2 linked regions of the Drosophila melanogaster genome follow. The protein of the gene in region 1 purifies or fractionates together with the protein of each later gene. This does not show direct contact. Each region holds a gene or a part of one and is shown on either strand. Other genes may lie near its edges.

Evidence for each region.
Region 2: the proteins of Rcc1 (region 1) and HPS1 purify together in Drosophila melanogaster (affinity purification with mass spectrometry, with the first as the bait; one large-scale study listed by BioGRID). This does not show direct contact.

Annotation. Positions count from the first base shown.
Region 1 is NT_037436.4:5,929,670-5,937,829, forward strand, and holds Rcc1 (regulator of chromosome condensation 1), read right to left. Parts: upstream 3,105-8,160; 5' UTR 2,737-3,104; intron 2,649-2,736; 5' UTR 2,613-2,648; coding exon 1,949-2,612; intron 1,890-1,948; coding exon 910-1,889; 3' UTR 593-909; downstream 1-592. Other genes in the region: Egfrap (EGFR adaptor protein), read right to left, coding at 4,101-4,322, 4,385-4,665, 4,736-5,024, 7,730-8,063, 8,160-8,160. UniProt on the Drosophila melanogaster protein: Promotes the exchange of Ran-bound GDP by GTP. Involved in the regulation of onset of chromosome condensation in the S phase. Binds to chromatin.
Region 2 is NT_033778.4:14,853,714-14,861,349, forward strand, and holds HPS1 (Hermansky-Pudlak syndrome 1), read left to right. Parts: upstream 1-1,715; 5' UTR 1,716-1,798; coding exon 1,799-3,589; 3' UTR 3,590-3,789; downstream 3,790-7,636. Other genes in the region: Ercc1, read left to right, coding at 1-89; Ciao1, read right to left, coding at 239-1,246; CG33506 (uncharacterized protein), read right to left, coding at 3,800-4,132, 4,195-4,651, 4,711-4,883; U3-55K (U3 small nuclear riboprotein factor 55K), read right to left, coding at 5,248-5,486, 5,543-5,679, 5,737-5,934, 5,996-6,822, 6,873-6,926.

The sequences.
Region 1 (8,160 bases):
AAACTCCACCACCACTACCATAACCACCTCCCTAGCCACAGTCGACTCAGGCAGAGGCAATCGTCAGCCGTGTTACTACTCGTAGTGAAGCCAAAACCCTCAACTGTGCATGCCAGGGTGGTTCGATTTGTTCAGCAGTAAATGCAACTTGTTCACCTCTGTACACGTAATAATCCATTTTGACCCTTGCCAGGTATGAAAACTACAAATATTAAAGCCTTCTTACATACTTCAATGGCTTGCATTCATGAATTCCCGGGTCCTGCGAATTGTTTAGACACCTTTGCTTTTAAAGGTAATTTTAAGATGTTTCCCTTCATTGCAAATCGAACCACCCTCCAAGCAAATACATATTTTTGTATAAATCTTAAGACCTACCATAAGAGTAACAATTTCGTGTTTCCTGATATTATTGAGTAAATGATGTCTCGCGCTTACGAGACAATCTCCCAATCTTTTGTAGCTTTTTTGCCGGTAATCTCCCATTTGCCCCGCCTGAGCCAAGAATTTATAATACACTGTGAGTAGGATGTATATCTTTGTGTATGATATAATCAAGTTAATTAGTTTGTAAATAAATCTCATTTAGTTTCCTTTTGCGTTCAAATACAAATTTACTACGGCTTCGTATTGCGAACGAATATATATAATAAACACTTAGTTGGATTGATAAAGAAGTTTTCGTCTTTAGGCAGACTTGTAAGATATAAGCGGGCATCTATTTATCAAAATAAAAAGAACTTAACAGGATTCAGTTCGTAGATCTTAACGTACAATAAGCAAAATTTCCGATCTATCTTACGAATCTGGGCTACTCATTGCCTTCCTTAAGCGTAGGGTAAGCGTACGGGTTCGTAACTTAGTGTTACCAAAAACAAAGTGGGAAAGTCAGCGTATTTATACTCAATCTTATGTCTTTTTACCGCCCCGCTTGGCAGCAGGCTTCTTGGCCTTCTTGGGAGTCGGTTCCTGAGCAGACTCCTCTTCGACCTCCTCGGCGGCATCATCCTGCGGCGGCGTCTTAATCTTTTTGCTGCTGGTTGACGCCTTCGCCGGCAAGTTTTCCTTCTGCTCCTGCTTATCTACATTCTCGGCTTCCTTGTCGGCATTATCCTGCGGCGGCGTCTTGTTCTTTTTGCTGCTGGTTGACGCCTTCGCCGGCAAGTTTTCCTTCTGCTCCTGCTTATCTACATTCTCGGCTTCCTTGTCGACATTATCCTGCGGCGGGGTCTTGTCCTTTTTACTGATGCTGCTGCTGCCAGACACCTTCACTGGAACATTCTCCTTCTGGTCCTGTTTGTCCGCTTTGACCAAAAAGATTGCGTGCTGACCACCGCCAGATGCGAGCAGCATGTGCTTCCCCTGCGTGTTCTTGCTGACAACCACGATCGGTTCGAGCTCATCATCGCCGTCGCCAACGCCTAGTTGATTGTTGACACCGGAGCCCCAGGAATACAGTTTGCCATCAATTGTAACGGCATAGGAACAGACTTCGCCACATCCAACGGACACAATCTTTTCGGTCAGCTTCTTTACAATCGTTGGCTTCTCCACAACATCCTTGACATCGCCCAGACCAAGCCGACCGTACTCCGGACGACCCACTACGGAACACTTAAGGTCCGTTGTCAGGATGACAGTATGGTGCTGACCGCCGGCAATATGTCGGATATCTTTGAGTTCCGTCTTGATGGGCGTCAGTGCGAACTCCTTGCCCTTTGTCTCGTGGGCCAGCTGCTTGAAGTTGTTAAGCCCTGTGGCCCAGATGACCTGTGTCTGTGACTCGCGCATGAATGTGCAGTAGTTGGTGGCCCAGATGGCCTCAAAAGGTTTGGCCCGCGTGATGATGAGCTGGGTGGGCCGCAGCAAGTCGCGTTTGCCACGACGACCTGGGGGTTAACATTTTTTTAATACGAATTTCGTTGAAAATTTGAATGCCAAGACTTACCCTCTCCGGAGATGGAACGCTCCGACAGCCGGCCGAGTTGTCCCTGCTCAGCGCAGCCCACGGTAAAGACCTTTCCGGCAGTGGTCAGGATGACCAAATGATCGGCGCCGGACGCGATGCTACAACAGACAGTGCCCTCCATCAGATCGATGGGCGTACGCTTGTTACCATCGATGGTGAGGCCCATGTTGCCATGAGAGTCCCGGAACGAGCCCCAAGCGAAGACACGGCCATCCTCCAGCAGACAAGCGGAATGCGAGTCTCCCGCCGAAATGCACAGAGCCTTGCCGGGCAAATCGATAAGATCCGGCTTTGACTCGCTGCCATCCTCGCTGGTGTCACGGCCTAGAGCACCTTCGTCATTGCAACCGAATGAGTAAATGTCCCCTGACTTGGTCAGCACCAGGTTGTGCATGCCACCGGCGGATATGTCCACGGCATCCGGGATGCCCGCCACAGGGCTGAGACGCTTGCGCTCCAGTATGTCCTCGCCGAGACCAAGTTGGCCCACATCGCCGTTGCCGCAGACTAGCACGTTGCCGAGCACGGTCCTCCGCTTGGGCAGCTCCAGATGAAAAGCGATTCTGGCGCGCTTCGCCTTCGGTGGCTGCTGCTCCGCTTCGCCGGCATTGTTGTTATTAGTCAGGGCCTTTCTGCGCGGCATTTTAGCTTGTATTTTCACAATTTTTTGTCACCGAAACTGGAAATAGTGCGTTTGTGTGTGTGTGTAAGAAATATATATAAGGTTAGGGACGCCGGTGATGCAGCTTAGTTCTGCTCACACTCACAATGGAAATAATGCCGGTCTCTGGTTCAGCGGGAGTTCCACGTTGTCTAGATGGTGTTGCTACGGCGGTTTGGAGGCGAGTGAAAACACCAAATGCAAGCGAATCCCAATGCGACCTACCTGGGTCGAAGAAAATGCGCGGGAAGCGGCGGCAGCTGGCCTTCAGGGTACAGTGTTGCGGGCTTGGCGAATTCCCCGCCGCATCTGGCTATTAGCGAGGTCACACTCCAATTTCAGGGTCGCTTCTGCGCCTATTGACCAATTGTTAGTACATCTTTGTTATCTTTGCACTGTTCCTAATTGCAAATAATAAAACAAAGCCTGCTATAACCCACAGTTTATTTATTTCGAGATATTGATAACTTTTAGAATGGAGCGTAGCGTGAACTCAAACTATGACAGTTGGTTAACAGTTCTCTAGCGAGTTTGCGAGCCGATTGCCGACCGATTCTATCGAAAGAGCTATCGATAATGTGCGGGAAATTTAAACTTTCCTTACCCACTCACATTATTTCAAAACAAATTTGTTGTTAAATATTATAAAATGTTCTACCTTTAAGCCAATGCTTCATTTTCAACGTGATTGTATGTATATTGCATGCTATAGATCAGAAAATAAACAATACTATTTGAAAAGGTTTTCCATTAACTTTATTACAAAATACATAGAGTTACAATATAATTGGTTATTCATTTACTTCCCATATAAGTCTATCTAGCCACTGCACCGCAAAGTGAGTGCATCAAATACAAAAAGAATCCACTTTGCCCATTCCGCATCCGCACTCCAAATCCCGGCAGCCGACCCTCGATTTCCCTACCCAAACATTAACATTTAATCCGACTGCCCCCATTCAGATATGTATAGTACGTCTGTCTGATGCATCTGCCACTCAGCACTAGCCGTACAAAACGAGCAGAATTGATAAAAACGCGAAAAATAATAATCACTTGATGTCTGTTTGCGTATACATATTGCATGTTTTTGCCATTTTTTAATCAGTTTCGCAAAAATGATTTGAGCGTATTCCCTATATTTGTGTATGCAAACACGCCCCTGCGAAACCACAGCCATCGCAGCCGCCCACGTAGCTGATTTTATTATCAATTTTAATAAAAAATGTTTGTGCACTTTTTGCAGCACCTGTCGGACAGGTGGGCCTTTGCCGGCCCGAGTACACATGGACATGGACCCTATTTATTGGTAGCCACGTCAACCGTCGTCAGCACAGCCAATTACGCAAATTAAACAGATTGTTATCCTGTCGCGACAGAGGACACAGGACGCAGGACAATGTGACAAGCTGGGCAGCTTAATTCAATCAACGTGACATAATTACTTAATTAATTAAGAGCGCCCAGCGGTCACACATTCAAATCGGCCATCATTTTGCGAAAGTCGTTCAGCGAGCCATACATCTCGAAGTCCGCTCCCCCGTTTCCGGTTCCGCCTGCGTAGGCGCCCTGCGATCGTTGCGATCGGGTACTAGGTGGGCGTGGCAGGGTCAGCGGCACGGGCAACAGTTCCGGCATCACCGAGTGGTGCGTGATCAGCGCCTTCAGCGAACTGAACTCCTTGGTGAAGCCCTAAAATGGTAAATACCATCATAATATATAATAAATATTATATATAATGTGCTCGGACTTACCTTTATCTTGTAGCCCCTTTGCGTCCGCAGGATCAGATAGTGGGCCACTCGTGGTGAAGGTGGTGGCACTCGCAGCGAGAGGGCGAAACATCCCGGCTTTGTGCTGCTCTGGCGCACTAGAAACGCACCTGGACTCTGTCGGGACAGGGCCTCCAGGGATATTTCCCTGGGAATGCCCGCTTGAAACCAGGCGGCTCCCTTAAGCTCCTGCTGCTCGGCTAGGCTGAGATTATCCAGGCGCAGGGCACTGTGGCCGGGAAACAATTTCGGACTGGAGTTGGCTGATAATTACACGGAAGTAAGGTAACCTTAGCCAACCATTTCATATCTGTGACATAAGAGTCTACCTACCGCTGCACGTCTCTCTCAGATACTTTTTGCTGGCGGCGGGCAGCTCCACCTGCAGCCGCTGGGTGGCACTCTCCAGTGCGGACAGTGACTGGCGGCAGGAGTCGCCGAACTTGCTGGCCACGTACTTGTCCGGCTCGCAGATGGCCTCGTTCACATAGCCATCGGAGATGGTCTGAGTGGATCCACAGCCGGATCCGGAGGTCAGCGAGGAGCCGCAGGTGCTGTGCATCAGGGGGCGGCTGTCCTCGGTTCCCCGCAGCAGTCCAATGCCCATGGTCAGGCGTTTCACCTGTGAAGGGATAGGAGTGCACAGAAAGTAATTATAAGTATTAATACATTCCCATTATTACATTCCCATTGTTTAGTATGCAGTTATTTTTGAATTGTTATGCAACTTAAGTAAAGTGTGATGTAATATTAATAACATTTACTACTTTTTGTTTTCAGTGCATCCATTGCTAGTGGTACGATTTGCATGTTGCATGTTGTCTGCCAATTTGGCAAAGTTTTTGCATTGCTATAATGGCGATTTCGGGACAACTCTCGCCTGACCGTCAGTATCGGTGCAGGTGTGTATTCATTCAGGGATTTGTGGCGCCACCCCCCACAGCTTAACCCCTGCTCCGGCTTCCGCCCGGAAAATCCAACAAACATCAAACACACTTTAGCTCTCACGGCCAGAACCACAACAACGTCGTGCCACACACTTCCAATTCCCCCCCCCCCCCCACCACACCACACAGAAAACAACCGAGATTGATGTGTAAAATTTTTGGTTACCAATAAAATGTTAAACAGCGCTTGCCACGCCCCCTTGGCCACAGTACGCCCACTATGGCAACCACTGGCTTTTGCGGCAAATTACTTTGAAATGAGTTCGAGCCCCGAACGAAAAGTTTGTGCTACTGCCTTTGGGTTTTCATTTTGCAGCTTTTAAATCGTTTCCCATTGCGTTGCGTAATTAGCAGTCTAAGCGTAAATTGGACTTGCTTATTTTGGTCTTAACTTGCGATAATTATGTTGATTTTATGGAGATGAGTGCCGATTTACTTGGCCAGTATGCGGCCAGTTAAATTGAGGATTTTCGCTCGATTCAGGCTCGTTGCTTCAATTGCAGCTAATTAAATTGGCGCATCGACGGCACTTGGCACTGTCGTTAAGTATGCAATCAGAGCATCGTGCCAACCTAATGCCCCCATTATGCTAATGGCAATCGGAAGGGAACAGCAGCGCATTATGCAATGCAAAACGCGAAGGACTCGAGCTCCAGAAGTGCCACAGCAAAATCCCGAACGTAAAGAATGCAGATGGGGCGGAGGCGGGCTGGACTTTTCCAAGGTATTTTCCCAGACAATGGCACAATAGACGTGTCTAAGCAGCATTCGCAGCAGCGATGCTCCCATCTGCCATTTGATTTTCTTGCATTTTCTCCTTGCCTTGTTATCTGTTCGAAACTTTTGCACGTTGCCTACTTTCAGGCGGCGCCAGAGAAAAGTTGCTCCATTGTCCTGTTGGCAAGGATTCCTTTCCACGTCCTTTCCCTAGGCCTAAAAACACGTGGCTGTCGGTTGCATTTGGCGCTGTTGCTGCGATTTATGTGTCATAAAGTCAGTAAGTTAACGCCATTTGCCTGCCATTTGCCATGGCATCCTGCATTGTTCACCAGGACTCGTGTTATCCAACTTCAAACTGCACTACGGCAAAATGGGAAGCATTCAACGCCCTGCCATGAAATGGTTTAAGTAGAAAGTTATGAATGAATGGTAACGGGGTTTCGGTCCAAGTTGTTGCCGACAAAAGAAAGCAATTAGTTAGCTAACTATGCTCGCTTTAGGATTATGGACGGCAATTGAGTTACTGCTCATTTAATTGGCATTTAAAAGTGCTAAGTATGCCCTACTCAACTAAATTTAAATTGACAGTAAAATGCAGTTTAATTGCAAATACTTTAAACTTTAGTTAAACACATTTAGGACTGCTCTTTACAAGTGAATTATGCTCGCATGTCAAGTGACAAATTTCTTGCGAAATTTAATATCTGAAATATACTATATAAATTTGCTAAAATCCATGAAAATCTTTTAAAAAATGCTAGTAATGTTTTACATTCAAATATTTCTGGATTTTCTTTTTGGGTAATATTAAATTATTTCTCTCAGTGTCCTCCCATTTGTTCTGCATTTTCGTCGTGTGCAGCTAGTGCACCTTTGTTAGTGGCGCGTGCCAAAGTGGCGTTACTCGAAAATTTGCATTTGTGCAAATTAATTTAATGAACTCCTTTTCGGCTGCAGTTTTGGTGGCAAAAACAATTTCCACCTGAAGTGCCTACTCCTGTCGCTTTCGAGTTCGATTCAAGCAGCGCAATTTCACACAAGTGATTTAAGGTTTATGCAATTAAAACAACTAAATAGAGAATTTAAGCTAGGCAACATGAATTGAACGAATTTTCCCTCATTTTCCTCGCTTTTTGCATTTCGTAAATGCTGTCTCGATCTGAAGTTTTCCTTTTCCGCCGCTACCTGGCATTTCTTTCACTAAGTGCATCCCCAGCCGATGCTCCTCCAATAGGTAATTCCTTTCAAATTCCCCCACCAGCTCTTGTTTCCTGGCAAATCATCAGCGTAAGCAGATTTATGCTCTGTGCAAAGTAATTTGCGAGCAATGAGAAATGGCCAACAAAGGAGCCTGGCAACAAAGCAAAACAAAAAAAAAAATGATTGCTCCCTCGACTGGCATCGCAAAATCCGTCTCTGTTTTCAATACATTGGCTAATAGTTAATATTAACTAGCGGAATCGGCAAAAAATGAGAATAAGTTATGTATTGAAAAAAATCAGTGGGCATACATTATGACCTGCCATTCAGAGTTATTATTTCCTTTTGCATAATATATATAGAAGTGTTACCCTACAATATAAAGGGCTTTCTTATATTTTTCCGACAGCTTTTTAAAATATGACTACCATTTCTTACAGTGAACCCTCGCAGAACTTACCAGCGGCGGCTTATCCACCAAACGACGGCAATTATTCATTTCTGTGGGCGAATTATCCTCCTCGGAGCTGGGCGAGCGCAGATGGTGCGGATGCGGATGCGAGCCGGGTTGCGGATGTGGATGCTCCTGTCCGGACAGCTCCTGGACATCGTGGTGGCTATGCAGCAGATGCAGCTGCTCCACCGGGCGGCGCTGGAGTTGCGGATGCGGATGCGGATGCGAGTGGCTATGCGGATGCGGCTGCTGGCGGGGCGGATGCGGATGAGCCGGCGGATGATGATGATGGAAGAAATGCTGCGGCGATGTCGTTGTCACTGTTCCAGCAGCTGCTTCACTGCGGTTAACAAATGAGCGAGAGGATTAAGGACGAGGTATACTTTGCGTTAAAGATTAAGGGAGTTACTTCTGCCCTTCCCTTCCCTACACTCACC
Region 2 (7,636 bases), on another chromosome or scaffold:
AGGAGCGACTCTCCCAGGTGATGGGACTGGGTCCCCGGAAGGCCAAGAAGCTGTACAAAACGTTGCAGGAACCGTTCCTCAGCAAATAGCAATCCATATTAGGTGTAATGCATCCCATAATCGTGTATGACACACTTCATCCATCATTTGAATACTTTAATTTTTTATTACGCAGACACTGTACAAAAATTAAGTTCCAGAATTACCCACTTAAATATATCAAACAATAATCCTTATGTTACTCGGTCACTTTCCAAATTTTAATGGTGCCATCATCGCTGCATGATATCAGTTGCCCGGCCACCACAGGATTCCACTGCACCGAGTTTACGTCCTGATCGTGAGCGCCTTCCTCCGCGGTTATCTGCTCGAACGTGGGTTCGTCTGGCTTGGAGTCGCTGCTCTCCTTAAAGATACGAATGCCGTCGTCGCCACAGGCAGTCGCTATCAGACCTGTAAGCTTGCACCAGGACACGTCGTAGATAGCCCGCGAGTGCTGCCCGGACACTGTGCACACGCACTTCCACACGGTTTGCTGGTCGGGCGTAGCCACTCCGGCTGTATTTCCGGGATGGTAGGCCCTCCAAATCTTTATTGTGGTGTCATCGCTACAGGAAACCAGGCGCTCGCCATCAGCATCGAAGTCAATGCCCCAAACCGTGCTTGTGTGTGAAGTAAGAGTGGCTGTGCAATCCCAGTCGTTGTCTATGGGCTCCTCTGCGAACATTTTTATGGTATTGTCGTACGAGGCGGAGGCCAAAATGTCCTTGGTTGGATGCCACACCACTCTCTTCACGTCCTGTGTGTGCGGGTTCAAAACGGCGGCGCACTCGAACTCATCATCGCCGGCAACCTCCCAGATCCACACGGACTTGTCCCGCGAACAGGTGGCCAGTAGTCCGCCGGATCGCGACCAGCTAACGCTCTTCACCTCGTTTTCGTGACCCTCCAATGTTGCGTTGCATTCGAATTCTCCCGAGGATTTCGACCAGATCGCCGTGGTGGCATCAAAGCTGGCCGAGGCCAAGTACTGACCGCATGGAGACCATCGGATCTCGCGAATAGTGCGCTTGTGGCCATCGGATAGGATGGTCTTTGTGCTCCAAGTGTTCCCGGTCAGCGACCAAATGCGGATGGCTTTGTCCTCGCCGCACGAGGCGAATACGTTGCCCTTAGGATGCCATGCCACTCCCCAGATGCGCCCCTTGTGGCCCTGCAGCGTGTGTTCCAGAATTAAACGTCCCATTGATGGTCAAGTGCTGTATTAGTGGACAAATCACTGTCTGTCCAAATAATGATAACATAAGCGCATGTCGCAAGAAGAAGAAAGTCAGCTGTCGTCAGTGTGGTCAAACGTCGGCAGAAGTCGTTCATCTAGCTTAATTTGTAAATCGGGATAAAATTAAATTTTAAAATTGTGTTCTTCATATCTAAGCAAAGCGATATTGCTTTGCAATAATAAAAAAATGCAATAAATTTGAAAATTCATATATTATAAATTATAAATTAATTTGATCAGGAAACTTATTACAGTTCAATACTTAGTAACTCAACTAAAAGCAATTTCAATTGGCAATTCGGATAAAAAAAGTCGAACGTATACTAGGCTTTTAATATATAATTCTGGCTTGAAAAGCGTTGAATTGCTCAGAGCTGAATCGCTCTAGTGTTGTTAAATGCTGACTTGAAGTCTTCACCTTTTCTTATCAGAACACACACCGAATTCCGTTACCCAGCACCAGTGACACTGGTGAAAGTTTTGTTGTGTATTTGGTGTTTTGCCAATGCTGATAAGAAAATGAACGGACTGATTGTGTTTAACAGCGCCAACGATGTTGTATACCAGAAGCTTAACGAGCCGCTGGCGCAGAAGATCCGGAGTGTGGCCACCACCCAGGGCCTGCTCCAGTCCGGCGGCTCCCTGGACAGCAACATACTGCTGCAGATTTTCAGCCCCATCGTTGGATCTCAGCGAATAATGCAGTGCCAGTTCGATAATGCCTACTCCAGCCTGCAGTGTGAGCAAGGCTTCAATTTGGTGTTCGGCGAACTTCTTGGCTTCACCTTTCTGAAGATCGGACAAATACCCGTGGAGCTGCTGGGTCGCCAAATGGGTGTGGCCATTACGCTGACGCGCTATTGTTACGGCGCCAATTTGTTTGCCGCCCAGGCGGGGGCCATGCAACAGGAGTTGCTGACGCAGTGCCTCGACTGCTATGAGACTTTGTTGTGGGAGGAGGATCAGACGTACCTGCTGGAGGCCATGCCCAGGCTGCTGATCAACACGGAACTAAAGAGGACAGTGCATCTGACGCTGGACGCCACGCTTGAGCACTTGCGCCAGCTCGGACTGCCCCGAGCCCACGCCCTGTTGCTCGTTTCCAACAAGCTGGTGGCCGCGAACAGCACTCGGCAAGCTCTGCCGCTTGCTGCCGCCGACCTACTCTTCCTCAGCCTCATGTCACGCGCCCTGCAAGCGCCAAAGTCCCCTTCCCAGCGAGCAGTAGCTGTATTCCTGCAGGGTGTCTCCTATGATGTGAACTCTGGCTGCGTTCCCAGTATCGTGCACATCTCGCGTCTCCATGGTAACCAAGTTCTCCTGCAGGTCATCGAGTACGCCCACATGCCACTGACCAGCTGCATCTACGATTCCTTCTTTGTGCTTCAAAAAATCGTGGCTGTTCAGCATCAGGGCGATTCGGATGCCCTGAAGCCCGCCTTCGAGAACCTCGAATCGTTTATTGTGCAGGCCTTGACCGCTTTGAAGCGATATCTGAAACAGCGATCGGAAACCGATGACCTAGAGAACTGCACGAAGAAGTTCGCCGCTAAATGGGAGAATCTTCGCAAGATGTACACTGAGTACTTCAAGAACTTTGAGCGGGAGCTGCTCGTGAGGATTGAGTCGAATTTGCCCTCGTTCGGAGAGGAACTGAAGCAGATATTCACACTGGCCTGCTGCGACAGCTCAAGTGTCCATGAGCTGGATCAACTCTCTGATACGGCAGCGAATGTGGAAGCCAAGCTACTGGAGTTCGCTGAATTTCTGGCCGTTAAGGCCACTCGTAACATATCCATTGATGCTTATTTGGAGGATTTTCCGGGTCTGGTGCACTTTATGTACGTCAATCGCAGCCGAGGACAAATGCTTGCTCCGGATCTGCGACCGAACCAGCTGGTGCCAAAGACAAAACTCTGGAGCATGGTGGAGATCGCGAGAAATTACCTTAAGAAGGGCCAGACCACAGTGATGTGGAAGGATAAGGCATTCCATTACTCGTACTTCCTCTGGTTCGAGGACATGTCTGGTGGCGTTCTTAGTACCGTCGTGGATTTGCAGCACCACTTTCTGTCCACAGGAGCAGCCAGTGGCAACGGTTCGAAATCCCCAACAGAACCAGGTGCTCTTACAATGGACTATTACCACGATCTGGCGGAGTTGTGCTTCCCCAAGCTGTCACCGGCCAAAGTGCGCGTCTACGAGTTGTATTGCATTCATCTGGGACTGGTAACCGCCACATGCGCCGTGGAGCATGCACGTCGCCTGGTGGCCACCATCAGTGATGTTGTGGGCGAGGAAGCGTTTTAAGTGCATTGGCCATTGGTCATTCCAGATTTATAACATGATTTCTAGTCAATTTTCGAGACTCCTAGGCGAGATAATCCACTCGAAATTTTGTTAGGTTTAGGACAACTATCATCCACTGTTATAGGCTACACAACAAGGATATTTGTAAAGTTATTGGAAACATATATATTTTCTTCAACCGGCAATAAAAATGTAACAATAAATGTGTGTTTACTCTGTTTCAGGCTGTTGCGCCTTTTTGAGTTCCTCCAGCTTCTCCAGGAAGAAAGATTTTCGTGCTGTTAGCGGCATGGACTTTTGCCGAATCATATAGTTTTCGTTGCCCAGTGCAGTGTAAACGTCATTTCCAATCAGCTCCCTCAGCGCGATGTTCTTCTTTAGATGTTTGTCGTAAAAGCTAGCTCCAGCTGCCACAAGTTGGGGACCCATCGTGGCCAGTCGCTGGTCAATCTCTGCGTCCGTAGAGACCTGATTGTAGTCTTTCATGAAGGACCAGAGCCCTAAGCCAAACAGACCCAGAATGCTGTAGAGCACAAACCGCACCTGGTAGTTGAAAAACGGAAATCAGTAAAAAATTTTAAAAGTGAGAGAGGTTGAAAACTCACGCTTCCATGGCGGGCGAAGAGATCTAGCCGCAGGTTGAGGTAGTGACCCATGGTGTAAACCATAAGAAAGCTGACGCTGGGAAAGATGGAGTTGAGCAGTACCCGATGGGTTTGCATCTGCAGAACAGCCTTGCTAAGACCGAAAATCTGTTCATCCTCATTCAAAACGATGGCTTCCTCTAGCAGTTTTCCGCTGGGAGAACTCCAGTTGATCTGTTTGTCTCTAAACCGAATGTCTGCCCGCTTAATCTCCTCCAGACTGTCGTATCCATAGTTCACCGGTATGCCCAAAGCGCCTCCAAATCGAAACTTAGTGGTGCCCGCCTGGAAAACATCGAATCCAAAGACGGTGAAGGGCTTCACAAACTTTCGCTCAAAGGGCGTCACGCCCAGCTGATCCAATGCCTTTTCCAGGCGCTGCTGCACTGCCTCCGGCACTGGACGCCCCACGCCGTGTCTATGAAAAGAAGTGGGATGTTAGAATCGCTTCCAGTCACCAAAAGTTTTCTCACCCACTGGTAGCATTGCACGAAATCGCGGTAATATTTCAGGCCGAATGTGTGCGGCAGGAAGTTTCCAAGAAAGAGGCCCACTGTGGTGGCTCCCGCCGCGTAGAATACGAGTTTTCGGCCCTTTTCAGTCTTAAAATAGGAGAAGAACCCTCCACCGGTTTTTAATTTCGGCAACATTTCAGCACTTATTGTTTTGTAACAGGGCCAGTGTGACCATGACTAGCTATTGAAAGTAGCCAACACTAAGGAACCATTTGCGGTTATAACAAACCGAATATCGGTTTTAGAAAAAATATTTGAGCTAATGGAAATAGACGACCAGATACCCCTTACTTTAATATAAGGAGTTAAATTTCAATCTGAAGCAAATTTAATAAATTCAAAAACATTCGTTTGATCTTGTTTATAAAGAACAAATAAATTTTATATGTTTGAAAGTAAGAACCTTCAGGTAGAAGATACAAATGATCTTTATGTATATATTTTCAGGCCGTTTCTTGTTACAAAAACTATACAACTTTACTTAAGCTTAGAAGTTAACCTAACTGCTGGCCGCGCTCTGTAACTTAACGTCGAGTACAACTACTTGGTTTTTTGCCTCCTTGAGTCGCCACCAGCGACCCAGGCGGTGCTCCTGTCCGGTGGCCACAAACAGCTTGCTGCCATCGGCATTGAAAGCCAGTCCGTTGATGAAGCCGGCGATGGATATGCTCTGGATTAGGTTCATTTTACGCGCGTTGGGATTAGTCTGCCAAAGACGGACGCAACCGTCACAAGAACCTAGAATCATGAATATTTAATTACAGTTCGCAGTAAGAAATATGCGCAATTCCCACCTGTTGCCACTAAATCCGTGTTGACCACCACAGCAATGGCGGTTATCCAGTTGGCCACGCCATTCTCGCCCACTCCGTGCGCCAGTTGCGTTGTACAAATGGGCTTCTTTTTCAAAGCGCTCCATAAACCGATTGCTCTGTAAAATGGTGTTGTTACTTCCATACTGAATTAGTTAGCCAGACTCCCAACTTACCCATCCATGCCACCAGACACAAAATGCTCATCGTTGATGTACTTAACGCACTCAATGCTATCTTTGTGTCCATTGTAGATCAGCTGCGATTCCTCTGTGATCTTCCAAATGCGCAAGGAGCAATCCGAACCGCCAGCGGTAATGGCGCGCTCTCGACTCAGTGCATCTATGCTAGTTACTGCCGTTTGGTGACCGAATCTGAAAGGAGGAGCTCGTTAAATGTCTGATATTAAGGGGGATTAACTAGCATAGTACTCACAAACTCTCCACATAGGCCATCTCATCCAGGGACCAGATTTTCACCGATCGATCCTTGGCTGCCGAGTACAAGTCATGTGTGCCTTTGCGAAAGACCAGACCTGCCACACTATCCCGGTGGCCTTTAAGAGTCTTAATGTGCTTCATCGTCTGGGGACACCAAATTTGAATGTGTGGACCACCTTCGGCCAAGGCCAGATACTTCATGTCCGAGGACAGGCATATGCTGATGACATGCGATCGCCTTTTCTTGCCCGTTTCTGGTTCCTCGCGATGCGACAGCACGTCCGATTTCTCCAGCACCTTCCCCGTTTCCGTGCACCACTTAAGTAGGAATTGCGATTTGGCTCCCGTGTAGAGGAATTTACCATCCGGACTGAGTGCAAGGGCACAGATAGGCGTGTGGTGGAGTTTGTGCTTGAGGATGCGGCTCGATTCGCAGGCTTTCAGGCTGCCAGCAATGTTCCGGCGCAGTTTGCCCACGCTATCCAAGTATTCCGTTTGCAAGCGCTGCTCCACGCTTTGGGCCAGCTCCCGATCCTCGGCGCGTTCCGCCTCTTGCTTCTCGATCTCCGACAGATACTGTTTGGCCAGACGCAGGCGCTTGTCCTGCGGCGTTTCCTCCTCGCCCTCGTCGGATGAAAATGCCAAGGTGTTGTCATCGCCGCCCAGATCGCTGTTGTACTCCTCATCGTCGCTAGCTATCTCCTCGTCCTCCTCCTTGGGACGGCGCTGCTTCTTTGGCACTGGTCCACCAGCCGCGGGCGTTGATTTACCCGGTTTTCCGCCTTTCTTAAGCGGTTTTCCTTTTGTTGTTGCTGCGGGATTCTGTTGAAAGCGTTACAGGTGCCGCTCTCTACGCTGCTTGATTCACTTACCTTGCGCTTCTTGGTGCCCTTGGCGCCTGGCTTGAGGAAGAAAGAGGACGACATCGTGGAAAGTAACTAGTTGCGCGGCTTTAATTCAATATTTTTGATAAAAAACTTAATTTAAACGAAGGAACGTCTCCACGTGCATATAAGGCGCGTGTCCAAATTTAGTACTTTTGTGGTATCAGCTGTTTGGCGAGTGCACATCAACAGGCTGAATGCTATGAAACTGCGAGTCAACACGGCCACCCTAAAATTGGCGCAAAAATTATACGCAAGGCAGAATATTTAAATTATTAAAATTAAACCAAGTAAATTGAAAATCGAAAAAACAGCTTCAAATAAAAAAACCACGGTTTATAGCTTGAATATATATCTTTATTTGTTATATTTCGATTATTAATCAACTAACAACTAAAAATCATAATTAAATCAATTAAGTATGTGCTTTTGAATTCATTTTGTTTATTGTTTCCTCCAATGGGCATAAAAAAATTACATATTAGTTAAGCTTGTTGTTGGTGGTCAAAGTAATGTGTTTGGCTTGCTAGTGCTATAAATTTATCACAAATTTATGTTATTCTGCAAGTGGTTTTTATTCTTCTTTTCGGTAATAATTTATGTATACGAATGTGAGCGCGCCGCATCGAAAAGGATTTGAATACCTACAGATCGCGGCGAGGCGTCGCTCTCCGGCGGAGAACGTTCCGTTGGCTATCTAAAACTAAGTAACGTGTAAAAGTAATCGTAGTAAAAACGTATTAGGAATATCG